2 linked regions of the Stegostoma tigrinum genome follow. The protein of the gene in region 1 binds, or shares a complex with, the protein of each later gene. Links are inferred from orthologs where the notes say so. Each region holds a gene or a part of one and is shown in the gene's direction. Other genes may lie near its edges.

The links.
Region 2: the proteins of eif2b4 (region 1) and eukaryotic translation initiation factor 2 subunit 1 are in contact, whole or in part, in a cryo-EM structure (PDB 6O81), measured with the Homo sapiens proteins. The link is inferred for Stegostoma tigrinum from reciprocal best matches to the Homo sapiens genes EIF2B4 and EIF2S1. Residues at the interface, in NP_001029288.1 of Homo sapiens: Asn245, Glu246, Glu247, Arg250, Thr285, Ser520, Ser521, Asp522; in NP_004085.1 of Homo sapiens: Met30, Tyr33, Met45, Arg55, Arg57, Arg75, Glu79, Lys80, Tyr82.

The regions. Positions count from the first base shown.
Region 1 is NC_081357.1:46,068,335-46,083,608, forward strand, and holds the start of eif2b4 (translation initiation factor eIF-2B subunit delta), read left to right. Parts: upstream 1-6,176; 5' UTR 6,177-6,216; coding exon 6,217-6,283; intron 6,284-8,309; coding exon 8,310-8,341; intron 8,342-15,274. UniProt on the Homo sapiens protein: Acts as a component of the translation initiation factor 2B (eIF2B) complex, which catalyzes the exchange of GDP for GTP on eukaryotic initiation factor 2 (eIF2) gamma subunit.
Region 2 is NC_081363.1:69,337,290-69,352,373, reverse strand, and holds the start of eukaryotic translation initiation factor 2 subunit 1, read left to right. Parts: upstream 1-7,866; 5' UTR 7,867-8,162; intron 8,163-8,391; exon of another isoform or gene 8,392-8,582; intron 8,583-12,240; 5' UTR 12,241-12,241; coding exon 12,242-12,482; intron 12,483-14,061; coding exon 14,062-14,141; intron 14,142-15,084. Other genes in the region: atp6v1d (V-type proton ATPase subunit D), read right to left, coding at 817-896, 3,411-3,528, 7,124-7,164. UniProt on the Homo sapiens protein: Member of the eIF2 complex that functions in the early steps of protein synthesis by forming a ternary complex with GTP and initiator tRNA. This complex binds to a 40S ribosomal subunit, followed by mRNA binding to form a 43S pre-initiation complex (43S PIC).

The DNA.
Region 1 (15,274 bases):
CTTGTGTTCAGACACAGCGCACGAGCTTTTCCACACCACTGGAAAGACTTTGTCCCTAGACAACCTCTCCTGTTAGAAAATCTCTCTATATTACAACACAGATGCTCTTTTCCTCCTGAAGTGGCAATGTCACTGGACTACTAATCCAGAAACTCAGGCTAAGTTTCTGGACACATGTTCAAATCCATCCAACACAGTGTAGAGCTGGACGCGTACAGCAAGCTGGGCAGCATCAGCAGAGCAGGAAAGTTGACATTTCAGGCCAGAAGGTGCGCCATCAGCTCCACACTGTCTTATCTCTGACTCCAGCATTGGCAATTCTTACTATCTCATGGCACATACTGGAGTTTGTTTTCAATAAAGTTATCCCCAAATGGCAACTGTATAACGATTGTCAGTTATCATAACAACCCATCTGGTTCACTAATGACCTTATGTGAAGAAAATCTGTTAGTGTTGCCTGACATAATTCCAGTCCCACGGCAATGTGGTTCATTCTTAACTACCCTCTGGTTGCCTAACCAACAATCCTCTATATTCCATGAAGGAATGTAAACAAAGACACTCAGATACTCTTCCACCATAAACACAGTTGTTACAATACATGAAGAGGCCATTTGGCTGTCATGTCACCACCAACTCTCTGAACATTTTCACATGGTGACAAAGTCTTGCCTGTTCCACAAAACCCTGCACATTATTTATTTTTAAGTAATCATCCAGTGCCCTCTTGGATGCCTTGCCTGAATGTGCCTCCAACACATCGTGAGGCAGTGCATTTCAAACCCAGATCCGTGATGATTTTTCCATCACCACACATTTGCTTCTTTGCAAAACACTTAAAAATTGTGTTCTCTGATTTTTGATCTTTTTACAAGTGGGAACAGTTTCTTCCTTTCTACTGTGTCCACAGTCCTCATAATTTTGAAACTTCTGTCAAATCTCCCATCAGCCTTCTCTCCCAGGAAAACAGTTCCAATGTTTCCAATCAATCCTCAAAACTGAAGCTTCTCATCTGTGGAACGATTCTCGTAAACATCTTCTGTGCTGTCTGAAATATGTTCACATCCATCCCAAAGTAGGACACACAGAATTTTACACAATACTCCAGCAAACGTCTAATCAGTTACAATTTAGGTTCCCTGCTCCCATACACTAATCTCCGATTAATTAAGACTAGAATTCTCTATGCTTAATCAATAACTCTCTCTACCTACCTACCACCCGAATGACTTACATTTACACCCCGGTCTTACTGCTCTTGGACACCATTTAGAATAGTACCCTTACTTTATACTTTCTCTCCATGTTCTTTGTACCAATGTGTATTGCATCATACTTTTGACACTGAAATTTGTCTGCCACCTATTCATCTAGGCCACCGGTCTATCTCTTTTAAAATTCTATAATGTTGTCACAATAGATGAGCCCACTCTCCAGAGTCAGTGCTGTGCTACTCACTGTATTTAAGTCTGCCCAATATGAGGCACAGTGGACGTGATTTTCATACAAGTCCAAAACAAAAGCACAGAGGGCAGCAGGAACATTCATACATGACTGTCCGCAACCTCACATTAGCCTTTGACTCCACCAAACCACAGGTACGAGACAGCATTTTCATAGAATCTCTACCGTGTGGGAAAAGGCCATTCAGCCCATCAAGTCTGAACTGACTGTTCAAAAAGCATCCCACCCAGATCCTAGGCCCCCTACCATATCCGAATAGCCTCACAATTCCACATTTACCATGGCTAATTCACCTAGCTTGCAAACCCTATACACTATGGACAATTTAGTATGGCCAATTCACCTAACCTGCACATCTTTGGCCCATTGGAGGAAACCAGGACGTGCAAAGGAAACCCATGTAGACACGGGGAGAATGTGCAAACTCCACTCAGACATTCACCAGGACTGGACTTGAACCCAGGTCCCTGGATCTATAATTGATTGATTGTTGTTAGGCATGGGCACTCAGAGTTATGGAGTTGAGATATTTGGACATTGGTTATGAGACAAAACAAAATATGTAACAATTGATCCTACTGAAGTTTTGGTCATCTGAAGAAATTTGTCAGCATTCTCCTGCATGACAAGACACAAAACATGATCCTCATCCTCCCAGACAGAACCATCGCAGACCTAATATGTGTGCAAACTGGAAGATGGTCATTCACAAGGAATGCTCTTCTCCATCTTCCTTGCTTTAACAATCCACCACATATCCATGATACATGCCATAAGACCATAAGATATAGGAGCAGAATTCGAGTCATGGCTGATACATTTCTCAAACTTATTCTCTGCCTTCTTCCTATACTTGATCTCCTTGCCAAACAAGAACCTTTTATATGTCTTAAATGCATTCACTGACTTGGCCTCCACAACCTTATGAGGAAATGAGTTCCACAGATTCACCACCCTCTGGCTGAAGAAATTCCACCTTATCTCAGTTCTAAAGAGTCATCCATTCACTCTGAGACTGTGCCCTCAGGTACTACTCTCTACTACTTGTGGAAACATCTTCTCCATATCCTCTTTATTGAGGGCTCTCAGTATCCTGGAAGTTTCAATGATATTTGCCATCATCCTTCTGAACTGCATCGAGTGGCATAAAACTTCTGCCCATGATGAACGTGAAACTATTCAAATGGCTTTACTTCTAATCCAGAACCAAGACAATCAAGGGGGCATAGCTTTAAATTGAGGGGTGATAGATATAGGACAGATGTCAAGGTAGTTTCTTTACTCAGAGAGTAGTAGGGGAATGGAACACTTCGCCTGCAACGGTAGTAGATTCGCCAACTTTAGGTACATTTAAGTCGTCATTGGATAAGCATATGGACGTACATGGAATAGTGTAGGTTAGATGGGCTTGAGATCGGTATGACAGGTCGGCACAACATCGAGGGCCGAAGGGCCTGTACTGTGCTGTAATGTTCTATTTTCCATAATCCCAATATCTGTTATGGAGCTGCAGTACACAGATGTCCCTGCATATGCACATACTCAGTGGCTGAACTCCAATCCAGGCACTCACCAAAGAATACTAGAGGAATAGGCGATAGGCTAAACATCTGAAAGATAACAAAACCTGGGTTCAAATCTTATCTGCTCTAGAAGTATGTCATTATATCTCTTAGCAGATTGATCAGAAAATATTTTCTACCAACCTGCTCCTGTCATGAACTGCTGTCCTCCAATTATCAACATTTATGGTCAGCTATTGGATGGATCAATTCTCATACCTTGGAAGCACCTTTTCATCAAGGGCAGATATCAGCAATGAAATTCAAACTCAAGTGTGCCAACACAATCTTTGGCCACATGAAGTGATGGAAAATCATCCTTGCTTTTGACAGACTGTCTAAAAAAATAGTATTTCATAATGACCAATCATAGAAAGCCATGTAACCAGTTCTGTTGGTGACACAATAATTAGCGATGAAGTGTCGTGCACCATCTCTGGCACTTATGCCTTTCCTGAGATAAGTAGACCAAAACCACACATAATAATTGAATTGTGGTCTCACCAAGCCTCTATACAATTGCAGTTAGATATTGGTAGTCCAATACCCTCAAAATGAAGATCACCATACAGTTTACTTTTCTTATTGATTGTTGCTTCATGCTAGCTTTTGTGACCCGTAAATAAAGTTATCCTGGTCCCCACACTTACCAGCTTCTCACTACTTATGAAATATTGCCTTTTTTTAATTAAAGTAAATAACTTTACACACTTTCATATTTTATTCCATCTACCATGTGCTTGCCCATTCACTTAGCCAATCCAAGAACACTTAAACTCCCCTTGGGTCCATCTTATAACACTCCCATCTAGTTTTATCAGCAGCTGTTTTGAAAATATTTCAACTGTCCCGCATCCAATCAATAATATAGATTAAATACAAAAGCAAAGTACTGTAGTTGCTCAGAATCTGAACATGAAAGAAAAATGCCAGAAATACCAGTGCTTGTGGAGAAAAACAGTCTGCATTCAGGTGGTGGTGGTGGTGGGGAAATTATTGGAAAAGATTCTCAGGGACAAGAGTAATATGCATTTAGAAGCAAATAATTTATTAGTAATAGACAACATAGTTTTGTGAATGAGAGGTCATGCTTCACTAACTTGATCAAGTTTTTTGACGAGGTGATATGGATGCTTGATGAAGGAAAAGTAGTTGATTTTGTCTGTATGGACTTCAGTAAAGCCTTTGACAAGGTCTCTCATGGCAGACTGATGCAAAAAGTGAAGTCACATGGTATTGGGGTGAGTGGGCAGAATGGATACAGAAATGGATAACAAAGTGTGGGACTGGATGAACACAGCAGGCCAAGCAGCATTTTAGGAGCACAAAAACTGACATTTTGGGCCTAGACCCTTCATCATTTTTTCTGATGAAGGGTCTAGGCCTGAAACGTCAGCTTTTGTGCTCCTAAGATGCTGCTTGGCCTGCTGTGTTCATCCAGCCCCACACTTTGTTATCTTGAATTCCCCAGCATTTGCAGTTCCCATTATCTCTGGATACAGAATTGGCTTAGTCATAGGACATAGATGGTAGTAGTGGAAAGATGTTTTTCAGAATGGAGAGTTGTGACTAGTGGTGTTCCACAGGGATCAGGGCTGGGACTTCTGCTGTTCATGGTCTACACAAATGATTTGGAGGAAAACATAGATAGTCTAATTAGTAAGGTTGAGGATGGTACATAGATTGATAGAGTTGTGGATGGTTAGGAGGATTGTCAGAGAATACAGCAGGATATAGATCAGAGGCATGAGCAGAAAAGTGGCAGATGGAGTTTAATCTGGGCAAATGTGAGGTGATGCATTTTGGAAGGTCAAATACAGGTGGAAATCACGTAGTGAATGTCAGAATCCTTAGGAGATAACACTGTGTGAAGCTGGAGGAACACAGTAGACTGGGCAGCATCAGAGGAGCAGGAAAGTTGATGTTTCGGGCCTGGATAAAAAAAAACAAATGGACTTCAGATGCTTCCAATCAGGAGCAGAAACAAAGTTGCTGGAAAAGCTCAGCAGGTCTGGCAGTGTCTATGAAGGAAAAAACAGAGTTAATGTTTCAGGTCTCGTGACCTTTCCGCAGAAATGGGGAGGGGGAAGGGAGCTCAGGAATAAATAGAGAGAGGAGGGGGTCATGCTGGGAAAGTGATAGGTGAGTGAAGGAAGGGAGTGGTTGGGGATTGGTGGGAGAGAAGATGGACAGGTTGTGTCAGGTCAAGGAGGCAGGGGTTTAGGAGATTTTAAAACTGGTTTGAATTTACCAGTTTTAAAATCTCACCAAATAGAAATGGAAAGAACTGTTGCTGTAAATCAGGAACAAAAACAGAAGTTGCTGGAAAAGCTCAGCAGGTCTGGCAGCATCAGTAAAGAAAAAATCAGAGTTAAAGTTTTGGGCATTTCTTCAAAATTCTGAAGAAAGATCCCGACCTGAAATGTCAATCTTCCCCTGATGCTGCCTGGCCTGCTGTGTTTCTCCAGGTCCAACCTATGTTATCTCTGACCCAGTTCTTACATTCTTTGGGTGAGTTAGGACCCTTAGGAGTATTAATTAGCAGAGGGATCCAGGTGTGTGGGCCCACAGATCACTGAAGGTGGCAGTGCAGGGAGATAAGTTAATAAAAAGTCTACAGCATGATTACCTTAATTGGAAGATGTGTTGAGTACAAGAATAGATAAGTTATGCTGCAACTTTATGGAACTTTAGTTGTGTCACACTTGGAAAATTACACACAGTTCTGGTCACCACACTATCAGAGGATGTTGAAGCTTTGGAGAGGGTAAAAAAAAGGTTTATTAGGATGTAGCCTAGCAGCATTCATGGGAGTCCTGGATGAATTTGTGAATAGGAAAGGAATAGAGGGAAGACAGTTTTAGTATGGAAGGGCAAAATGTGTTGGTGCAGGCTTGAAGGGCCTGTTCCTCTTCAGTGTTGTTCATTGTTTTGTTAATATGTAAGGTCAATGGAAGGTCAGCAACATAAATATCAATTTTCTCAACACAAATGCTGCTAGCCCTAAGTACTCCCAGCATTTTCTATTTTTTTTAATGTCAGTAAGTCCACATTCGAGAGGGAACATACATAGTGGATAACATGCACGTATCCACTTTTCACTCTTTCGCGGATGGGGGGGGGTGGGGTGAGGTGTCAGAGACAGAGAGAGGGGTATGCGCAGGCGCAGTAACGCATAGTGTATAGAATGTCTGAAGGAGATAGAGTGTGTCCCCGCGTTCCGGGTAGCAGCGTGAGCGCAGCTTCTGCTCCGGGTAAGCTTCGATTAACTCTTAAGTTATTCAACAGAAGGGATAGATTACAATTACAAGAAAGTCTTGAGCTTTTACTGAAAGAATTATTGTTGGGCGGCCTCGTGTAATTCTATCACCGGAAGTTGATGCAATTCCCGCGACGCAGAATATGTTGCTTTCCTGAGACTCCTGGTTTTGCTAATTCCAAGATGTTCATTTCTGTTTTCGTCTGCGAAGAGCCCCGTAACACATACCCATTTTGTTATGTGTGACTGTTATTCATCTTAGAGCCTTATAATTTAATTCGAAAGAATTTAGAAGGTTGTTGCTGGGGTTGGAGGGTTTGAACTCAAAGGAGAGGCTAAATAGGCTGGGACTACTATCCTTGGAGTGTTGAGGCTGAGGGGTGACCTTATCGATGTTTTATAAAATCATGAGGGGTATGGATAGGGTGAATAGTCAATATCTTTTCTTTGGGGTGGGGGAGTGCAAAACTAGAGGGCATAGGTTTAAAGGTCAACTTTTTCATGCAGAGGGTCGTGCATGTATGGAATGAGCTGCCAGAGGAGGTGCTAGAGGCTGGTATGATTACAGCATTTAAAATGCATCAGGTTGAGTATATGAATAGGAAAGGTTAAGAAGGATATGGGCCAAATTCAGGCAAATGGGACTAGATTTATATTGGATATCTGGTTGGCTGAAGAGTCATGTTTCTGTGTTGTACATCTCTATGATTCTAAATTCCAGCAGCAGAAGCTTGAGATTGATTGATGATTTTCATATCTTTTCCACCAGGAATGATGGAAATCAGAAACAAAAACAAAAACTGATGGAAAAGCTCAGCAAAGCCGAAAACATCTGCAGGAAAGAAAGTAGACTTAACATTTTGGATCCAGTGACATTTCATCAGAACCCAAAATGTTAACTCTGCTTTTTTTCCACAGATGCTGTTGGATCTGCTGAGATTTTCCAACAATTTCTGCATGTTTGTATTATTCCTGTCCTTTTTGGTGAGCAGGGCAATTTGTACAATTCAATCTACATTAAAAAAGTGAAAAACTCAGAAGAATATTAGCAAATCTCAGCTAGTCAGGGCGTATATATATGACAGTAAAGTTAATATTTGAGTAATCTGACGGCAGGAAGTATTGTGGTTGAAATACCTAGATGTATACAGAAAAAGTTCAAGAATTCCCTGTGAGGTGATTAGCCAGAGGGACAAAAGATGTTTGGGTGACATACTTGTAAGGCAAAAGAAAACCTGTTGAGAACAAAAGACGTGCAAGACCCAAGGACTGTATGTATCATTAAAGGAACAACATAATGAAGATAAGTATGAAAAAACAAAGTGCAGGAAGTTCAACTGGTGTGGGTTTTTGGAGAAAGTGGAAGACAAATTGAGATGCAGACACCTTCCAAGATTGTGACCCCATCAGTATCTAACTCAGTATCCCTTGTATTAACTTGTGGGTTAAGAATGTTAACTTTGGACAAAAGTAAAATCAGGAGTTAATTGCCTGAAGCAAGTTCAAGGTCTGTCTTTATTTAATGGTTTTATTTAAAATTAGAAGTATATTCAGTCAGATCTGTTTTAGAAGTGTGACATTTGGAAAATGGTCACATTTTATTAACATGTTTAATAGATATAGTTGGCCAGTGCTGAAATATGTTCTCAACCCTTTTACCATTTGCTGTCTCATAAATGAGAAAGTATAATGCTGGCACAAGCTGGTTGGGCTGAATTGCCTGTTTTTGTCTGTATCCTATGTAATCCAGTTTACAACATTATAAACCACCAAATGATATAATTGATGTAGCAGAAATTAAAAACAGCCATCAGATGAGAGTCATGATATCAGTAAGATTTTTAATATTATTCTCCTTGGCTTCAACATTTCCTCCAAGAATTTCAAAGTAAGGCGAAGTAATAGGGCTAAAGCACACAAGGTCATAAAAGCCAGTAAAAATGACTGATCTTATTATCTTATCTATGAAAAGTACGTTAAACTCACTAACTTTTTTGCTGCGTTGTGTTTGTTTATTTTAGATGTCGAGAATAAGAAAATCAACCCACAAAAGGTAGGTGCTGTCTTTTTGTGTTGTCATAGTTGTTATAATTCTGGCCTCTACTGCCGAAGTTTATGTTAAGATCTGGTTAAGGATCAGTAACTTTATGTTTAAATGCTCAAAATGTAAGATGCAGTCGACTTAGTAAGGGAATAAAGCCACAAGACTCTATGGTTTTGAAAAGCAACAATAAACTTTACAATGTAGCAACCGTAGTGCATTTTGCAAGTGTGGATCAGGAGCTGAATAGGGGTTGCAAGTTTCAAGGCAGCAATGACTGCTTGTGGGGATCCTCTGTTTCTCAGGTCTTCTTTCCCCACCTTTGCTTTATTAGTTTTTCTCCAGTTCTAAGTTTTCTCCAAAAGCTTTCAGCAGTTTTCAAGCCTTGAAGTGGGCTCACAGTAGGAAAAGATATGGGAAGCAACTGCCCTGCAATACATGTTCTTTCCTACACTCAGAAATCACATGAGGATTTTGGATAATAAACTATGATCCTACACCAGGCAGCACACATCAGATAGTAAATAGGATCAAGATTGATGCCATAGATTTCTCAGCAATTCCCCTGCACCTGATGATAATGACATTGTGGATCATCAAATCCAATAAACTTCACAAGGTTTCACAATTCTTCACTTTTGCTCATCTGGTTTTTGAAGTACCTGCTCAAAGGCTGCTTAGTCATAGCCTACCTCAGTTACAGAATGTGCTTTTGTGAATTCTCCTTTCCTGAGATTCCTCTCCCCTGGACACCAAAATGTCGCTCCAGAACTTAGTCACAAGCATGACTCCAGCTCTTCATTGTCAACCGTCTTCAAATGTAAACTGCCACTGGATTTTTCCATGAGTTCTATATTCTCTCTAATCTTGTACAGTTTTCCCAACAAAATACTGCTTGTGGCCTTTTCAACCCATTCTCAGCTTTCCTGACTTTCATAGGGCATAATTTTGTGTGAGCCCCTTGTGTCTCCCAGAACTTCCCTAAGCAGTTGCTGCACTGAGCTATGCAATTACTCCAGGGTATTCCTGAACCTTTACTACGCAAAGTCTGTCGTTCTCTTGCCTTTAACAATGTAGAACATTTCTGTTCTTGTCTGTCTCCATCAGCCTGTGACTCTGGAATTGTATTAAATGATCAATTGAAAATCTCATTATAAATAGTGTCACTGTTGCTGGGCAGAGTGAAATGTTGCCACCCAGCAATTCATAGAGTTGTCCATTGGCTGAGCGTTACATTCTTATTACAGAATGTTGGAAATGATTTTCATTACACACGGAACGTAATGAGAATTTTTTCTAGTAGCAGAAGGTCATGGATTCTCCAGACTTTGACAGGGTGGTGAAAAACAGGGTCCTTGGATATTTATAAGGCTCAGGTTGATAGACTTTTGATAAGTAAGGGGGCGGAAATATTATTGGGGTGGATGTGAAGGTGGAGTAATTAGATCAGCCATCATCTAATTAAATGGGACAGTGTCCTTGGAGCAACTTTTCTTACTCTGCTTCTACTTCATATTTATGTTCAAATTTAACATCCAAATATCTAGTGTAACTAGAAATATTTGAGAACTTGTAAACCAAGTTTAATTTGAAATGACTGCAAATATTTTTATAAGAATGGATGTGACTTGAATTCTACCTTGTGAACTGTCTCACTATGTTTGACTGTTTTGTTTGAAAATCCTCCATTTTGAAATAGAGTCTGAAGCTTTATACTTGTGGATCTTTTTCGGTTTCGGGGTAGACTTTGGTAGCAATGTATGTGTACTTAATCCACAAACAGACAAAAAAAAATTAATTCTTTGATTTGCTTTTGGGATTAATGGACTCAGTTTTTGCATCAAGTAATTTACAAAGTAGTTGGTTCTTGTTTGATTTGAATGATTAAGTTAAAGTAGACCTCCCATATCAGTTGAATTCTAGAAAGCTTGTAGTTAGTGTTAATGGTCATGTGGTATGTAACTTTCACTCCAAGCAGTAAAACAAAAGTTAAAGGAACTAACTTAATGAAAAAAAAGAACTCAGGACCCTTGTGTTAAAACTTTTGTTTCCCCAGTTTAAACCTATGGAAACTGAATAAAAAGAGAAGGAAATAATTTCATTGGGTCTGCTGTGGTGTTGCTCATTGAAAAAGGAATAATAATAAACATTTTCTATGTAAAGTAGAGTCATAGTAGAGTTATACCACATGGAAACAGAAGCTTCGTTCCAACTTGCCCATGTTGACCTGACATCCGAAACTAATGTAGACCTCGTTGTCAGCATTTGGCCTATATCTCCCTCCAACCCTTCCCATTCACATACCCATGCTGATGCCTTTTAAATGTTGTGGTTGAGCCTGGCTCCGTCACCTCCTCTGGCAGCTCATTACAGAGTAATAGAGTTATACAGAACAGAAGTAGATAAATGCATTTATCATGTTAAAACATAGTTATCACTGTTGAGAAGATTTTTTTAGAAAGGCCCCTGGAAGTTACTGTCATGTTTTGGTCATAAAAACTGGGTCACAATGTGCCTGAGCTGGTTTCTAGCCTATAGCAATAAATATGGGGAACTCATGGACTTTGCCACTCTAATCAAGACCATCTAATAAATTGCCCTTGTCCAAAATCACTTCTCTAACAAACTTATTTCCTATCTCCTGTCGTGCACTTTTTCTTTAACTGGTCCATGAGACTCCCCTTGCTGCCTCAATCTTAATACCTTTAAACAACTAACTGCTGAACTTCCTTCTTGATCCCCATGCTATCCAGCATTTTAATTGCTCTATCTCCTGGTGTTGTACGCTTGCCTGCCTCACTGTCTGTACCCCCCTCTGTCGCCCCCTCCTCTCCTCCTGTCTTTTTAAAAAATCTGCCATCATTTCTCTTAAAACAAAACCTTGACCGCATTATCCTTGCTAATAACCATCCCATCCTCCACCTTATTATGCTGTTTGATCCTTGAACATTTTGCTGCCTTCTGAATCCCTGCCAATTTTTTCCAAAATTTATTATTGACGCCCTCCAATCGGGCTTATTTTTTTTTGATCCCTCTGCAGCTTTGATGCAGTTGACCCCCATTTCGCTTAAATGACATTCCCCTTCCACTTCCACACCACTATCCCTGATGTTCCAGAAGCATCAATCCTTGACCCCTGCCTATATCTATGTATGTGTTAGAGATGGTAGGAACTGCAGTTGCTTGAGAATCTGAGATAGCAAGGTGTGGAGCTGGATGAACACAGCAGGCCAAGCATCATCTTAGGAGGAGGAAAGCTGACATTTCGGGCCTCGACCCTTCTTCAGAAATGGGAGAGGGGAAGAGGGTTCTGAAATAAATAGAGAGAGAGAGGGAGGCGGATCGAAGATAGATAGAGGAGAAGGTGGGTGGAGAGGAGACAGACAGGTCAAAGAGGCGGGGATGGAGCCAGTAGAGGTGAGTGTAGGTGGGGAGTTAGGGAGGAGATACGTCAGTCCAGGGAGGACGGACAGGTCAAGGGGATGGGATGAGGTTAGTAGGTAGGAAATGGGGGTGCAGCTTGAGGTGGGAGATGGGAATAGGTGAGAAGAAGAACAGGTTAGGGAGGCGGGGATGAGCTGGGCTGGTTTTGGGATGCGGTAGGGGGAGGGGAGATTTTGAAGCTTGTGAAGTCCACATTGATACCATTGGGCTGCAGGGTTCCCAAGCGGTATATGAGTTGCTGCTCCTGCAACCTTTGGGTGGCTTTGTTGTGGCACTGCAGGAAGCCCGTGACGGACATGTCATCTGAGGAATAGGAGGGGTAGTTGAAATGGTTCGCGAGTGGGAGGTGCAGTTGTTTATTGCGAACCGAGTGTAGGTGTTCTGCAAAGTGGTCCCCAAGCCTCCGCTTGGTCTCCCCAATATAGAGGAAGCCACAACACGTACAGTGAATGCAATAAACCACATTGGCAGATGTGCAGGTGAACATCTGCTTGATGTGGAGAGTCATCTTGGGGCCTGGGATGGGGGTGAGGGAGGAGGTGTGGGGCAGGTGTAGTATTTCCTGCGGTTGCAGGGAAAAGTGCCTGGTATGGTGGGGCAGGAGGGGAGTGTGGAGCAGACAAGCGAGTCACGGAGAGAGTGGTCCCTCCGGAAAGCAGACAAGGGTGGGGAGGGAAAAATGTCTTTGATTGGTGGAGTCGGATTGCAAATGGCGGAAGTGTCGGAGGATGATGCATTGGATCTGGAAGTTGGTGGGGTGGTATGTGAGGACGAGGGGGATTCTTTTGGTTGTTATTGCGGGGACGGGGTGTGAGGGATAAGTAGCGGGAAATGTGGGAGACATAGTCGAGGGCGTTCTTGACCACTGCCGGGGGGGGGGGGGGTGTTGCGGTCCTTGAAAAATGAGGACATCTGAGATGTAGGGGAGTGGAATTCCTCATCCTGGGAGCGATGCGGCAGAGGTAAAGGAATTGGGAATAGGGGAATGGCATTTTTGCAGGAAGGTGGGTGGGAGGAGGTGTATTTTAGGTAGCTGTAGACTGGGAGGCACCTGGACTCTCTCGAACACCTCCCTCACCTTCCTGGACCCCTCCATCTCCATCTCGGGCAACCACCTAGAAACCGATATCCATTTCAAGCCCACAGACTCTCACAGCTACCGAGAATACACCACCTCCCAACCACCTTCCTGAAAAAAATGCCATCCACTATTCCCAATTCCTTTGCCTCTGCTGCATCTGCTCCTAGGATGAGGAATTCCACTCCTGTATATCTCAGGTGTCCTAGTTTTTCAACGACTGCAACTTACCCACCCCCCAGTAGTCAAGAACGCCCTTGACTGTGTCTCCCGCATTTCCCATAACTCATCCCTCACACCCCATCACCGCAATAACAACCAAAAGAATCCCCTTCGTCCACTCATACCACTCTATCAACCTCCGGATCCAACGCATTATCCTTTGACATTTCCGCCATTTGCAATCCGACCCCACCACCAAAGACAATTTTCCCCTCCCCACCCTTGTCTGCTTTCTGGAGGGAGCACTCTTTCTGTGACTTCCTTGTCCACTCCATACTCCCCTCCAGCCCCACCAGGCCTGGCACTTTTCCCTGCAATTGCAGGAAGCCCTACACCTGCCCCCACACCTGCTCCCTCACCTCCATCCCAGGCCCCAAGAAGACTTTCCATATCAAGCAGATGTTCACCTGCACATCTGCCAATGTGGTATACTGTATTCGCTATGCCTGTTATAACCTCTTCTACGTTGGGAATACCAGGCAGAGGCTTGGGGACCGCTTTGTAGAACACCTATGCTCGGTTCGCACTGAACAACTGCACCTCCCAGGCGTGAGCCATTTCAATTCCCCCTCCCACTCCTCAGATGATATGTCCATTCTGGGTCTCCTGCAGTGCCATCTGTAGGTTGCAGGAGCAGCAACTCATATTCCACTTGGGAGCCCTGCAGCTCGATGGTATCAATGTGGATTTCACAAGCTTCAAAACTCCCCTCCCCCTACCGCATCCCAAAACCAGCCCTACTCTTCCCTGCCTCCCTAACCTGTTCTTCCTCTCAACTATCCCCCCCTCCCACCTCAAGCCGCACCCCCATTTCCTATCAACTAACCTCATCCCACCCCCTTGACCTGTCTGTCCTCCCTGGACTGACCTGTCTCCTCTCTACCTCCCCACCTACACTCACCTCTGCTGGCTCCATCCCTGCCTCTTTAGCTCGTCTGTCTCCTCTCCACCTATCTTCTCCTCTATCCATCTTCAATCCACCTCCTCCCCTCTCCCTATTTGTTTCAGAACCCTCTTCCCCTCCCCCCATTCTGAAGAAGGGTTTAGACAGAAAACTGTATCAGTGATAATGAGAACTGCAGATGCTGGAGAATCCAAGATAATAAAATGTGAGGTTGGATGAACACAGCAGGTCCAGCTGCATCAAGATGCTGCTGGGCCTGCTGTGTTCATCCAGCCTCACATTTTATTATCTAGACAGAAAACATCAGCTTTTGTGCTCCTAAGATGCTGCTTGGCCTGCTGTGTTCATCCAGCTCCACACCTTGATATCTCCTATGTATGTGCAGTTGTTTAGTGACATTGTAAAGTACTGGTATTTATGCTAAGTATACATGTGTTTTGTTGACACGAATTGGCTGTAATGCGATTGAACAGCAGACACTGTTTGGATAATGCAAACTTTCTGCTGTGCAGGTGTAGTGATTTTCTAGAAAAATTTCTCTATAATGTAATTTTAATGGTGATTTTCCATAGCATAAGGCCACATAAGAATCCTGCTATCGCATTATAGATACTTGTACCGTGTTAGTTTTAGCTTTTTTATTGTGGACTCTCAACTTTGCCTTGCCATCAGCTCTCTTAACTCCATATCAGCCTGCCTAGCAAAATAGAAAGCTAGCATACAGACCGACAGTCAAAACAATTTTTTCTTGGTCAACTGTCTATCGTTTCTTTTCCCGAAAAATGAAAAAAACCCACAGCTTACCCCTTCATTTTCTTATATTTGAAGCGTATTGCATTAAGTTATGCCATTGCAGTACAGAAAGGTTGTGATTATATCGAACAGGATACTGAAAATTTTTAGCAATGTCGCTTAGGTCGGAGAGCATTAACCAAGAGAAAAGATTGAATAGGTTGTGTTTGTTTTGCTTTGAATAGGTGAGGCCGGTAGGCAATTGAGTGAAGGTGTGGAGAATTATTAGATGCCTAGATTAGAGTGGTAAAAGGATTTCTTTTGGTGAGGGAGTACTGTCCCTACCTGTGAACGAGAAGCTAACACATTATGCCACTCCACTGCTCAATGGGAAACAGAGGTGCATTCATTATGCAACCGAAGAGGTTGAGCATCCACTTGGTAATATTTCCTATATGCCCAATTCCAGCTGCTAAGAGTAGGAGAGATTTCTAATCAGCCATGTTTTTAAACATTATTTGTTCATGGTATATGGGATTCATTGTCTGGTGCAGCATTTATTACC
Region 2 (15,084 bases), on another chromosome or scaffold:
GCTGGATAAAGATTTTAAATTTATGCTGTGGTCAATGGATGCTCGGCTGAGACAGCAACTGTACACTCTGCAAATATTGGTCACAGAATCCTAGAATGCTTCCAGTGCGAAAAGAGACTATTTACCCCATCAAATCCACACCAACCCTGTGAACAGCATCCCACTCAGAACTAGTTCCCTACCCGCTCTTCATAACCCTGCATTTACTGTCGCCTATCTATCAGCCAACAGATCTTTGGCCTGTGGGAGTACCAAGTAGCAGCCACACATACACGGACACAATGTGCAAATTCCACGCAGACAGCCACCCAAGGCTGGAATCAAATCTGGGTTCTTGGCGTTGTGAGGCAGCAGTGCAAACCACTGAGCCCCAAAAACTCTAATCTATTTAACTTGAAGTTAATGGATTTAAATTATCTGATAATTTACATTTTAGGCAACAAATTCCTAACATTATTTGATCAAAAATTATGTTAATTTTAATGGACCAATGCTGATAATTATAAGCTTAATCATGCACATTTAATGAGCAACCTTTACAGTCAAGAATATTTCAAATTCAGCATGTGCATGTAAAGTACAAAATAGACTCTGCAATTATAAGCAATTGAAAGAATCTAACATGCATTAACGGTCCCTTTTAGCATATAACAATTTTTCATACCTTAACTGCTCCCATGGAGCAAGTGAAGGGCAGCCAAGTCACCAAATCAATAGTCTCCAAACACCAACAACCAAGACTGGTTTCCCAAAGCCTCATTTACAGATAAGAAGGTGGTCACTCTACAAAGAAATCTTTGATAACTGCAGTCTCACCTGAAGTCTCCAGCAGTGAATTTGGCTTCAGCTAAGGAAAAGGCCGCTTCCCTCATTACTTCACCCATCAGTGTTTTAGTCTGAGATGTGAAAACCAAAAATAATGCAAAATGTATCAGTCAGCAGTGCCACATTATACTGAAACACAGGGTTTGACTGTCTTGATTTCATTTTGCTACAAGGTTTTTTTTGTTTCATTGAAAATAAAATGCCTGGTTCATTTATGGATTATATAATAGAAATAGTAATTTCCAAAAATCTGCGAGGATGCCCTCATTTTCTGCCATTTGCCTTAGTTTAATTAACATATTCACTGTTTTCCGTGATGTCCTACAGGGAACACAGGGTCTAATCAGTTAGGCTGATATTGGTAATACGGAAAACATTGGAAGTCATTATGAGATTTAATAGCACAGAACTTTGAAAACTATGACAGAATTGGAAAAAGTTCACTATGGATTTATGAAAGGGAAATCATGCTTGACAAATCTTTTGGAACTTTACTGAATGCAGTTAACTTGGACTTTCAGAAGTTTTACAGTAAGACATTAGCGTGTAAAGTTAAGTCGTTTGGGACCGGGTGTAATGTACAGACATGGACAGAAAACCAGTTGTTAGATACAAGAAAGGGAACATAGTTGGAATTAACAGAACTTTTTTCCAAGTAGCAGCCAGTGACCAGTGCCGTACTACAAAGGATCAGCGCCTTTGCCCCTGACGCTCACAATATATATCCATGATTTAAATGAGGGAACTACATGTAATAATGCATGGCATTAACTGGGAAAGGGGGAGATCCAACAAGATCTGGATCCAGTTGCTGAAAGTAGGTATCTGGGTGCAGCAGGTGGTGAGACAGGCAAATGGTGTGTTGACCTTCATAGCAAGGGGACTTGAGTACAGGAGCAGGCACGTCTTGCTGCAATGCCACAGTGTCTTGGTGAGACCACATCTGGAGTAATGAGTGCAGTTCTAGTCTCCTTATCTGGCTATGAAGGAAGTACAAGGCAGGTTAAGCAGATTGATTCTTGGCATGACAGGACTGACATACAAGGAGGCACTGGATTGGTTAGGACTGTATTCACTGGAGTTGAGAAGAATAAGTGGAATTTCATAGGAACCTATTCGAGCAGGGCATGCCAGGGTAAACACAAGAAGGGAATCCAGAAGCAGAGGTCAAAGGATGTAGCCATTTAGAAATAGATAAAGAGAAATTCCTTTGTGCAGAGGGTGGTGAACCTGTGGAATTCTCCATCGCACAAAGCAATTGAGGCTAAGATATATATTTTTAAGAAGGATAGTTAGATCTAGTTTGTGATGGCTAAAAGGATAAAAGGGTACGGGGAGAAAGCACAAGCAAGGGCAGCATGGTGGCTCAGTGGTTAGCACTGCTGCCTCACAGCACCAGGGACCCAGGTTCGATTCTCGCCTCGGGCAACTGTCTGTATGGAGTTTGCACATTCTCCCCGTGTCTGAGTGGGTTTTCTCCAGGTGCTCCGGTTTCCTCCCACAGTCCGAAGATGTGCAGGGTAGGTGGATTGGCCATGCAAAATTCCCCATAGGTTCGGGGAGGTGTAGATTAGGTGGGTTATAGGGAGATGGGTCTGGATGGGATGTTCTGAGGTTCGGTGTGGACTTGTTGGGCCGAAGGGCCTGTTTCCACCCTGTAGGGATTCTAATTCTAATTCAAGCAGAGATGTATGATCAGCTTGATCATACTGAAGGGAGAAACATGCCCGAAGGGTAGAATGGTCTTCTCCTGCTCCTATTTTCTATGTTTCAAGATGACCTGCCCCCACAATCCTCTGCCAATGTGTGTGCGTGCGCGTTGGCCACAAAGAAGTGTGCAACTCATTATACCACCTTAGTGCGCATGCTCAACAGAAACATCTAATCAGGAAAACGGTGATGTAATGCCACACGTCCATTCAACAGAGCCGCAGGCTAATATTCTGGGACATGGATTTGAATATCACCATAACAGATAATGAAATTTGAATTGTGTTTTTTTAAAATCAAAATCTAGAATTTAATGCTAGCTTAATGGGAACTGTGTCAAAATAGACAATGTTTGTAAAAACCCATATTCACTAACAGCCTTTAAGAAGGAAATCTGCCATCCTTACCATGACTGGCCTACACTGTCTCTTTGGTACATAACTTTGTGATTAACTCTTAACTGAAGATGACCTAGATGGGCACACAGATCAAGGGTTCAAAGGCAATTAACAATATACAACAAATGTCAGCCTTGGTAACAATGCTCACACCCTGTACAACAGCAAAATACATTGAGCTGGGGGTCAAGACTGTAATCATCTATTGCATTTCTCGTGACATCCTACTTCACTAAACAAGATGATTCTGTTTCCCTGGTTGACAGCACAAAACATAGCCAAGATATCGTGCACATAAATAAAGTGTGGTTAAATGAACACAAGTAGAAATCAAATAGAACTGACAATGAATGAGCAGGACTGCTGTGTTAAAAACTGCAATAACATTGCTAAATGTGTGTTGTGAGCTTAGGAGAAAAACCAAATAGTAAGGTTTAGTTAAATTTATTATAATTGTTCCTTGAAAATAAATTTCACCTCTATAATCTTCTTCAGGATTTGTCTGAAGCGAAGTGTAAGGGCATCAGACTTTTTCTTCAGTAGGTTGCGACCAGTCTGAGCACCTTTCAAACGGGCCTTCATTATAGTTTGTGCCCTGTGGCAAATGCAAAAAAAGGTTAGGTTTACTTCTTCTGCCCACTCATTTCTTTGCATGAGCAGGAACCCTTCCACTGACAGAAAGACGTGACATTTTTGCTCCCAGTTTTCATTTTGATGTGTTAAGAAAAGGTCATTCATGTTTCTCTTTATAAAGATGGGAAGAGCCTGTTTGCTTCAGTGCACGTAGGAAGCATTTATGCTTCTAAAAAGAGGAACAATGAATGGCTTTAGCTTGCTAAATAAATAGATGGAGCGGTCTGGTAGTATAGTGTAATGTTCCTACCTCCGAGTTAGAAAACCCAGGTTTAAGTCTCACCTGCCTCAAAAAGGTGTTTTATAACAATGACCAAGCAGATGGACTTCAATTTTATTTTAAGAATGGATGAATAATTCCAAGTCTGAGCCAAACCTGGACAATAGTTCAATAACAGTTAAGGGAAATATTTAACTTGGGCCAGTTCACGACACAAACATACTTGACATCAATCATTCAATTGGATATCTTACAAATGCAATACGAGCACAACAATATTTAATATGACAGATTAACAACATGTAGAACAAAAGGATTTATTCCCTCCAAACCAAATATTTCAGGTCAAAAACCTTTTTCAATTTTCAAAACCTGTGTTCCAACAGCACCATTTTTAAATTGAATCCATGAGGTAGAGTTTTGCAACAAATATAACGGAGTTGTCCAGACTTAGTGAAAATTTGGCTATGGAAATTTGTTCAGCTACCTGATTCTATCACGTATTAAACTCCCCCAAACCAGTTCCTGGTGTCAATGTACACACAACTGTTTATACAAAATATTTATTCCAAAATGTTCTTTTTTTCTATTAAAAAAGGTCACTGAGGACATCAAGTAAAAGGAGTTAGATGTTAAATATGGCCCCTTTCACATTCTCATGACAGTATCAAAGCAGCTTGGACTTATTGTCAAAGCTCTTTCACATGCTATGAGCAGGTGCAGAAAATAGTCAAGAAGACTGACAGAATGCTGGCCCTCATATCCAAAGGGCTGGAGTATAAGGGTGCAAGTGTTATGCTACCGTCATACAAAACCTCAGACCCCACTTAGAGATCTGAGAGCCGACTTGGGCACCCCACCCTAGGAACATTGTCTTGGTGCTGGAGGTAGTTCAACACAGATTTATATGGATGATACCTGGATTTCAGGGGTTCAGTTACGAGAAGGGGTTGGACAAATTAGACCTTTATTCTCTAGAACCTAGAAAGTTCAGGGGTGATCAAGATGGGGTTTTTGGAACATTAACAGGGAAAAACAGGATAACCCTATTTCCAATAGTGGAACATTCTCAAATCAGTGTGCATAGTCTAAGAAATAGGACCAGGCCATTCAAGAGAGAGACGCTAGAAAACACTTCTGCACACAGTAGAAGGCTTTGGAACTCTCTTCTTCACATGGCAGTCAATGCTAATTCAACTGTCAATTTAAATTGGACATTGTCAAGGGATATGGGCCCAATGCAGACATATAGAGTTAGGCAATGGTCTTATTGAATGGCCTATTCCTGTTCCTATTGGAGTAGTGTGTTCAATTCTGGGCACTTTATTTAAGAAAGGATGCTAAAGCCCTGGGGACACTGCAAAGCAGGTTTACTAAAATGACTGCAGAGATAGTAGGAAATGCCGATAGTGGATAATCTGAGATAACATGGTGTAGAGCTGGATGAACACAGCAGGCCAGGCAGCATCAGAGGAGCAGGAAAGCTGGCATTTCAGTTCGAGACCCAAAACGTCAGTTGTCCTGCTCCTTTGCTGCTGCTTGGCCTGCTGTGTTCATCCAGCTCTACACCATGTTATCTTATATTACCAGATTGATAACAGGAATTAGAGTATCTAGACACAAGGCAAGATTAGATAAATTGCGCGTATTCTCCTTGAACAGAGAGGATTAAGATATGACGTTATTGAGGCGTTCAAAATTTCTGCTAATTAGTATGTCAATGGCTCAGTCACAATTTCAAGATTGTCAGCAAGGCAGCTAGGAGTGAGATGAGGAGAAACTTCTTTATTCAGTTGTTAGGATTTGGAATGCTCTCTCTGGGAGTGCAGTGGAGACAGATTCCATAGGTTTCAAAAGACAGATGGATATATATTTGGAAGACAGGAACTTTTAGGGTTTTGGAGATAGGGCTGGAGAACAGGACTAGCTGACTAGATCTTTCAGGAACTGGTACAGACACTATGGAATCAGTGATTCTATAATTTACTTATGGATAGGAAATTAAAAGACTACCTCAGATAACAAAGTGTAGAGCTGGATGAACACAGCAGACCAAGTAACATCTCAGGAGCACAAAAACTGATGTTTCGGGCTCTCTGACGAAGGGTCTAGGCCCGAAATGTCAGCTTTTGTGCTCCTGAGATGCTGCTTGGCCTGCTGTGTTCATCCAGCTCCACACTGTTATCTTGGATTCTCCAGCATCTGCAGTTCCCATTATCAAAAGACTACCTCATCTGCTTTTAGTGATTATTACAGGACACTAGCCAGAACTACCCGCATTTGTGAACTCGCAGACAAGCCTGAACTGTTATTCCATTCAAGAAACAGTACTTCCAACAATGCAGCACCCCTTTATTATTCTGCTGAAACACTAGATCAGTTACATTTCAGATCCTGCAGTACGGTTTGAATTCACCTCCTCTGTAGGTGTGCTACCACAGCATGTGGATGGCCACTTATCAGTATAGACAATTACTATATGCTATACTTTTACAACAATGCATCTGAGAAATTATTCCCATGTATGGCAGTTAAATAATTTTGGTAAAGGGGGCTGTGAAGATGGCCAACGTAACAATACCAACTTTTCCAAATCAGACAGAATGTAAAAGTTGGAAACAATGTGCTGTGGGTGAATTCCAAATTCTGGCAACATTAATTATCAATAAAGTATTCCACAGCTGCAGAAGAGCTCATAATTATTTCTACCATGTTTGAATTATTACCATTTCATAATCTCACAAGTATTGGTGTATTATATAGTATGTCTAATAAAAATTGTTTAGAGGACACCCATCCCTTATTGTCTACCTTTTTCAAAAATCAAAAGTCAATCAGCTTGAACATTGTAGCCATTGAGGGTGACATGTATTTCAAAAATCTTCACAATGCAGCTAAACAAACAAATGTTTAGTTTGTCTTTCCATGTTATTGTATTCAACACGTTCCTAAAAATTCAGCAATATGTAGTGATTCATGCATTTTTTGTAAGAGATTTCTAATTGCAATGCCAATTTTGATCCAATAATGGATTGCGAAATTTTGGAATCTGTCATGCAAATTGGGCACCGTTGCATTAATTATCTGTCTGTGTTATAATCTCCGACTGACACTCTCAATTTTTATTTAGTTTCGACTGTAAAAGTTCCTTTATTTGGAAATAGTTCGATGATTCAGGAAGAAATGGGCCAGCACTTTTAAACGCAGTTTCATTCCAACAGCCCTTCACCTGAGCCAAAATTTAAAATGCTAAACTTTAAAATTTCCAGGTCGGAGCACTAAAGCAAAAGTCAAACTTGAGATGGCTAAAAACCGTAATCAAAAATCTGACACTCACATTCGCGATGGGAAGATCTCAATCCTCTCCTTGCCTGACATGTTTGGCTATTTCTTGAGGTGGGGGGGGGGGGGGGGGGGAAGATCCAATAGCTGGTGGAAAAGATGAAAATCTTTGCAATCGACAAGGAGTGTCCCGTGACCTTCAGCAGGTTGTAAGGCTAAGCCCTAGTGGGGCTACTTCCTCCTATAATTTTCTACTAACTTTCTTCGGTCGACTCGAGCAAATTGTTGGTTTCCACGGATCAGCAGCTGGCAACATCACGTGACAGGGCGGAGGTGACCTGTGACCTCCCTCACCACCGGGTTAACCGTCGTCCAAATATTCTAGATGGGGATTTTAATTTTTTTAAATGAAGTATCTCTTAGTGTTGCTGTTTGCTTCGCCAATTCCATATCTCACCGTTTTATCTCGCTGTTATTAACTATCTACGATCCTTTACCAAGATGGCGGCGACACGTCGTTACACCCGGCTGCCCCTTCATTTCCAGTCCTCCGTCAATACTAGAGAGCGAAAACCTAACAAAGCTATCGTGCAAAAGCACAATGTGTGTGAGTCGCGTCTAATGAATGAATGCTACAAATCAAGGCCGCTCCGCGATATCGATCGCGACTTCCAAGGTTACTTGGAGTGACGTTTCACTCCGCCCTCCTCTCGGCTTCAGGTCGCAGCTCCGCGCTTGCGCAGAAGCGGGGTTTCTGGCGAAGGGACGTACTTGCGCTGCGCACGAGAGATTCTGCGGTGCAGAGATAGTAGGAGCTGCAGAAACGTTAGCTTTCCTGCACCTCTGATGCTGCTTGGCCTGTTTTCTTCAGCCAGCTGTACACCTTGTTATCTCAGATTCTGCGGTGCAACGTGAGGATAAACATTGCCGCGCCTGCGCAGAATAAAGCGTGCGCCGTAACAGTTACGGAAAACGGCGTCGCGCCTGCGTAGAAAAGTAATTGTGGGAACAACGGAAATAGCGCGAGTCGGAGTGTGGGCCTGAGGTGCTGACCGTCCTCGTTCGCAGCAGCGCTGCCTACAGATTCTGCTCAAGTAAGTGAGTCCCAGTGCTGTCCTCATATCGGGAGCCGCAGTCCACCCCCCACGCCACTGATTCGCTGGTTAAGGCGGATCTAGATTCCGGCCCAATGCCAGCATGTTTTATGGTCATGTCGGCTCCTCAACTCGGGCTTCACCTGCGGGCCCATCCGGGCCTCTCTCTCTCTCTCTCTCTCTCTCTCTGTGTGTTTTTTTTGTGCGGCCTCTTTCTATCACTCGTGCCATTTTTCACTCCACTTTAAAGCTACCACCTGGAATGTGGCAGCTTCCAGGGTGGTGATGTCCCCACTTCTGACCCAGCAGATCCAGGTTGAAGTCCCATCTGTTCCAGAGGTATTCCACGAACAGGTTGATTAGAAAATAATTACAGCCACTGTGATTAAACTGAGGATTCTTGAAGTTCACAGATGGAAGGTACTTTGATTGCATCATTCTTAAAGTGAAATCCCAAGGGATGAAAGGCCTTAATATTCACTTCGTGATCAAGGAATTTCTTTTCTATCTTTGCTGATTTAGGAATTGAACTAGGTTTGGCTTGAAGTTCATACTTCTGTCAGACTAGGTATTTGGAATTAAAGTTTTAAAGAGATCTTCATTATGTCACGAGTAGGATGAAGTATTCAAATGAGGTATGACTGCATTATTGCTGACTGCTTTTCAGTTTTCTAATTTCTTTGTAGATAGATATTTTTTTTTATTAGCCTTGTCCAAATCTGAATCCTTGTCCTGAAGCTATTTACATGAAATAAAGTACAGATGATCATTATTGAAAATAGCATTGAAATGAAAATTGTACCATGAAGTATCAGTTGTGTCACAAAAATGGTCAGATTAATTGTCAGTTTGAACTGATATATGCAATTAGTGTTGGCTGGAGGCTGCTGTTGATTTCTGATTGAAGTTTATTGAGACATCTGAAGCCTGCCTCAAAATATGTTCTTAGGTGTTGATTCATGGCTCCATTGTAATTTCTTGTTTGGTGTTGGAATAATTACATGTGCAAGTCTCCAATGGCAGATTGGAAACTTCCTACAAAGTGTCAATATCAAACTTTATTAGTACTGTTGATATCTTCTAATCAATCTGTTCAGAGATGTCATTCCACACATAGAACCTAGGCCCACACCTTGACTTAGAGGTAGGTACCTCCTAAGAGTCCCATTGTGGTACTTTATTTTAATCAAGCTGCTCAGATACATTATGACACACATCTGAAGGATTGAAGCTGGGCCTCCTGGCTCTGAAGTAGGGACAGTGCCTTCCACCAGGGTGTCCAGTCTTGTTTCTTTATATCCTGGGGAATTAATGGAATTCAATTCATATGCATGGTCCTATCAGCAAGTTGTCCCTTGGCTTCTTCTGTGTTGGGAATGGCAGTCTGCAGCCTTGTTTAATCAAGGTGAGACTCTGCCTCATGGGAGTAAAATTGAAACTGTGGGCCCAGTGGAAATCCAGCTTCTAGTGGCATCTTTTACATCTGAAACTTTGCTGTCAGAATACTCTGCCTTTTTGCTCCCATGGAAGCACCAGGGCTTGATCTGTTGTATTACAAGTGTAGTTTTGTTTTGGCATCTTGCACTGGCCTTGTGGGCCAGAAAGCTTGAATTATGAGGAAAGGTTGGATAGGCTTGGGTTTTCATTGGAGCAGAGAAGACTAAAGGGCGATCTCATTGACGTGTACAGGATTATGAAGGGCATGGATATAGTGGATAAGGAACCACTGTTCCCCTTAGTTGGAGGGTCAGTGGTGAGGGCAGAAGGTTTGAGAGATATGTGGAAAAAATCTTTTATCCATAGGGTGGTGACAGTCTGGAATGTGCCTCTTTGGAAGGTGGTAGAGACAAATTGCCTCCATGCTATAACAAGTACATGGTTCAGTACTTGGCATGTCAGAACGTTCAAGACTGTGGGCTAACCGCCAGTATTGGTTCAGGCTCGATGGGTTGAACAGTCTCTTCTGCTCTGTTTCATTCTGTGACCTCATGATTTGGTGTTCATCTTTTTGAGAATTTAGGCTTGAGAGTTCAGAAACATTTCCACTGAGCAAGAGAAGACTAAGAGGTTAAAATTATGAAGGGTTGCGAGGCAATTTGGCCAACAGCTGTTTTAAAATCTGGGTCAGTTGTAGGAGGACATCAATTGAAATGAGTTCGGCAAGTTAGGATAAACTTGCAGGAACTTGCCCTGCTCTGACACAGAGCAGTGAAAGCAGAAGCCAGTGCATCTTTTAATGGAAGGGAAAAGTATTAGAAGAGATGAGATTTTGAGGATAAGTGTAACTAATGGGATGATTTTCAATTATTCTAGCAGTAAGCTAGGTCATGAAAACACACCTTCATAGGTAAATTCCTGTGGTTCCAAATTCTCTCTAACTCTTTCCCTCACCATTAACAAAGAAATTTCACGTAAAAACACTAGTCAGTGCAATGTACAATATTCAAGCTTCAGTACTATATCGATAGAATCAGCTGAAATTTCACTGTTATCTCAAATCTTAAGTTGTTATTTAACTAACTCCTCCTAAATTCTTTCCCTCAGATCATAGGGGAAGTTTTATAGTTTTACTGACATGAATTGCTCCCAGTTGTGATAACCTAAACTTTTTCTGTTCTATCAACTTGGAAATTTCTATCCAAGCTCTTCTCAATTGGAAGCACCACACACTAAATTCTTCAGCTATAGTGATTGTTTCCTTGAACGAAAAGCTTGATTCTCCACCTTTAGAGAAATTGTTTTCTGTTTTGAACTGAACTCAAAAACTAAAACTGATGGCTTTCTGGTTAGTTGTAAACACAACAGTATAAATGTTTCATCTATTAACATCACAGGGATTCTGTCAGGCACTTGATTAAAGTCACACGTTGCCTTAATTCATTTATCTAGCTGCTAATCCAAATGAGTTTTTTGCCCTTTTTAAAATGATTATGTTCACAGAACTGACCCTGTTTCTGTTTTGAAATCAAAGTCCCAGAATTTAATATTTATATGAACTACACGTTTCATCGTACAAATCCCATTATTTTGCACTGAGCAGACAGCACATTGCTCTGTCTGATCCATATATGTTGATACAACCAGGAAGAGGCTTCTTGATCATTTTTCACCAGTCATTGAGATCATGGTTGATCTGTGATCTATTTCCTGCCTTTGCCTCACCTCCCTTAACACTTTTGATGAACAAAAGTCTGTCAGTTCCCATTTTAACATGCATATTTGATTGCGCACCAATTTCCAAATTTTCTCAATTTCTGCCACTTTGTGTTTGGAAATGTTTCCAGATTTCACTCCTAAGTTTTTATGATCTAATTTTTCAACTAGGCCTCTAAATCCTGTATTCTGCATCCACCAGAGATGGTGCATGTTCAAAAAAAACCAGCTTCTACCTATACAAATTGTAGGACATGATGTGCTTTTATGCTTTGATCAGCCAATGATTGGTTTCTTTCTGGTTTGTTTAGCTCAACTTCCTACTGATTGAACTCATCCCACTTCATGGAAGTGGGATGCCAGCATATTTTAAACATATATTCTGTGCCATTCCTTAATATGAAGTAATTCTGAACACCATCCAGAAGTATTCAGCAGAGTTGTAAACAAGGGTCTAGACCCGAAACGTCAGCCTTCCTGCTCGTCTGATGCTGCTTGGTCTGCAGTGTTCATCTAGCTGTATACCTTGTTATCTCAAACTTCCTGAAGTAACTGGATTAACTAAAAGAAAATTTTGTTTTATGCTTTTATACATTACTTCAACATTTCAAAAAGCACATTCTCTGGAATCTAAAGCATTCTGCAATGATCTTCTGAATTAAAGAAATTTTTTTAATATTGTTGGGTGTTGGTCTCCCTTTTTTTGTTCACTTGAAGTTACCAGGCTGAAATGAGCTATATGTACAGTTAAACTGAAATTGCGTGGTGGGTTTTTAAGATCTCTTATTGTTTTATCCTCTCCTCGATTATTCTTTTACAATTCTGTTGGTTCTGCACATTTTTACGCAGTCTAGCGATAATACATTGTCTGCTCTTTCTGGTGTGAAATACCAAAGTGTAATTTGATTTCTTCTGCATATTTCAGAATGCCAGCTCTTAGTTGTCGGTTTTACCAACACAAGTTTCCAGAGGTAGAAGATGTGGTGATGGTAAATGTCCGCTCCATTGCGGAGATGGGTGCCTATGTCAGCCTTCTAGAATATAACAACATTGAAGGCATGATTCTTCTAAGTGAACTTTCAAGAAGGCGTATCCGATCTATCAACAAACTGATTCGAATTGGTAGAAATGAATGTGTTGTTGTAATCCGAGTCGACAAAGAGAAAGGTATGCATGTTGTGCAAACTATCTTGTCATGTTTTTAGATTCAGGAATGGCTCACCATCAAGATGATAACTGGGACGTCAGCAGTAGTTCATTCTTTTTGTTTACTAGTCTCTGACACACTGGTTGTGCTTTTTCTTCTGAGGCATCTGGTGAGGGTTCAAAACCCACTGGGGAGCTTGAGGTCAAAGTCTAGAGTCCTGGTGCAGTGTTTCATTGCAATTTGGATCAATCTTTAAATGATGGCCCCAGCTGCTCTCTTGTAGATATTTCGGCTCCAATAGTTTTGGGAGAAGAGCAGGAATGTTCTTATAGATCATGTTTATCTCCTGGCAATTCTAGCAAGCATGTTTCTGTGTACATTGGTCTTTTGTGCCTACTTCAAAATAAATTGCTTGTTAGGCTGTGATGAGAGAGGTCTAAATAAATCAGTTATTTTACATAATATCAGCTGCTTGTGCCTGTTCCCATATTTACTTAGGAACATGTTTGGACCACAAAGCAAATTAACATTTGAAATATGATCTGGCCATCCTTGATAAATTCCCAAATCAAAATTGAATGGAGTATTTTCATTTTTTGATTAATGTACAAATGTCCTGTGTGAATTGCAACTTGTGATAGTTTGTCTTATTTATCTATGTGGTGAATCTGAGTCATTCTTATCAGCCCATTCTGAAAAGTCCATTTCCCTAACTACTGACTCGATCTCTCCACTTAATGGTAGAGAGGACTTGTAATAAACTGGACGACATGTTCAACTCTAAGATAAACTTCCACCCATTCACTTGGTCCCTAACACAAGGCTGGCAGCTTTCACTTCCATAATGGTCTGTGGTCCTGTTTCAACTTGTTTGCTGAAACCATCATTCATGCATTTTAATATTTCTACTAGTGTTTTCCTGTCTGGTCTCCCTAACACCAGTTGCATCAAATCTTGTTCCTCTGTCACCTTTGCGCTTACCTTTTTTTGGCTTCCAGGCTGGCAAAGCATTTTTTGTTTTAATTAAATTTTCATTCTTAATCCTGTATTCTATGTCTGCACTCTGTCTATCTCTGTAAATCTTCCAAACCCACAAATCCAAGAACTCAACATATTTCCCAATACTGGCATTCTGCCTGCTTGATATTTAATTGCTTTTAATTGTGGTCTCGCCTACAGATACCCTGGAATTCCCTCCTTAATGCTCACTGACTGTCTAGATCGCTCTCCTTTTTTTAAGGCAATTATTTAGCCCTTTTGCAACAGTTCTGAGATCTTATGTGATGTCACATTTTCTTCATTAATGTTCCTAAATGCTTTTAGATGTTTTATTAAATTGAAGATTTCTCATAAATGTGAATTTATTGTTGTTGAGAGCCTTAGTGCTCTTGCTTTAGTGTTCAGTTCATTTGATGTATGTAATGAAGTGAAGGGTTATTTCAGCTACACAACTTGGAAACATGATGGCATCCTAGTTTTATTTTCCTTAAACTGTTTAGATACCTTACCTACGTAATGGAATGTTTTAGGATTGCCTCTTACACCAAGAAATTGTGGCCATTGTGATTGATTCTATTGTAATTGTCCCATTTGATCTAGGTTACATTGATTTGTCAAAGCGCCGGGTTTCGCAAGAAGAAACTATAAAATGTGAAGACAAATTTACCAAGTCCAAGACTGTAAGCATTTTCTGTTGTTTTTAAAAGTATGTATTTAATACATTGCATGAATGAATTTAGAATTATAGTGATGGGCTCCTCAGCACTGCCATCTGAGTTCAGTATGTTACCTTTTTCTAGTCAGGCATTTAGAATGTGTTTTTGTTCAGGATTTTGTGGCAGCAAGCCAGTGGCATTGCATGAACTGCAGATGCCAATGCATAACTTGTGTGTGTATATATACATTTTTGTGGACATGTGCCTTGAGTCTGTTAATGTGACAATGAAGGTAAAGGTTTTGCTGTGCAAGTTTTTTCTCTCACATAACATATTTTTATGTCTCCACTGTTCTTTTGGTAATAGAAATTCAGGCATGTTAAACTGTTAGTGTTTAACATGCCCAATAATCATAGCTGATGTAAACAGTCTGCATTCATTTTTAGCCTTTTGGTGGGTGGGTGTGTGAGTGGGTAAGTGGTGTGCTGGAGCTGGTTTCCATCATTATCTTGCCAGAAGGGAATTGGGACCAAAAAAAGTTTACCTAGCTGTTGATCATATAAATATTAAGAATTTTGCCTCTTGAGCTTGATCTGTCATTCATGAAGATAATGTGAGATTTCCTGTCTACTATCCATATCCATTAACTATTGTTAAATTCTTAACTATCAATCTGTGCCTTAAAAGTATTCACTTAGCCATCTCTAGTGCAATCTGGCAAAGGAAGGTCATGACTCTGAATGCTCCAAGGAGAAAAACAATCTAATCTCTATCTCAAATCTGAGGCCCCTGCCTTTTAAATTCCATCACCTACTTTTAGTCTTTCTCACAAGGGGAAATTTTTGTTACAGCATCCATCCTATCCTTTTTCCTCAGGGGTATTATACTTCAATAGAATCATCTCTTATCTAAATTCTTATAATTCGGGTCCATTGCTTTCTCTTAAGATAAGTCACTCATACCAGGT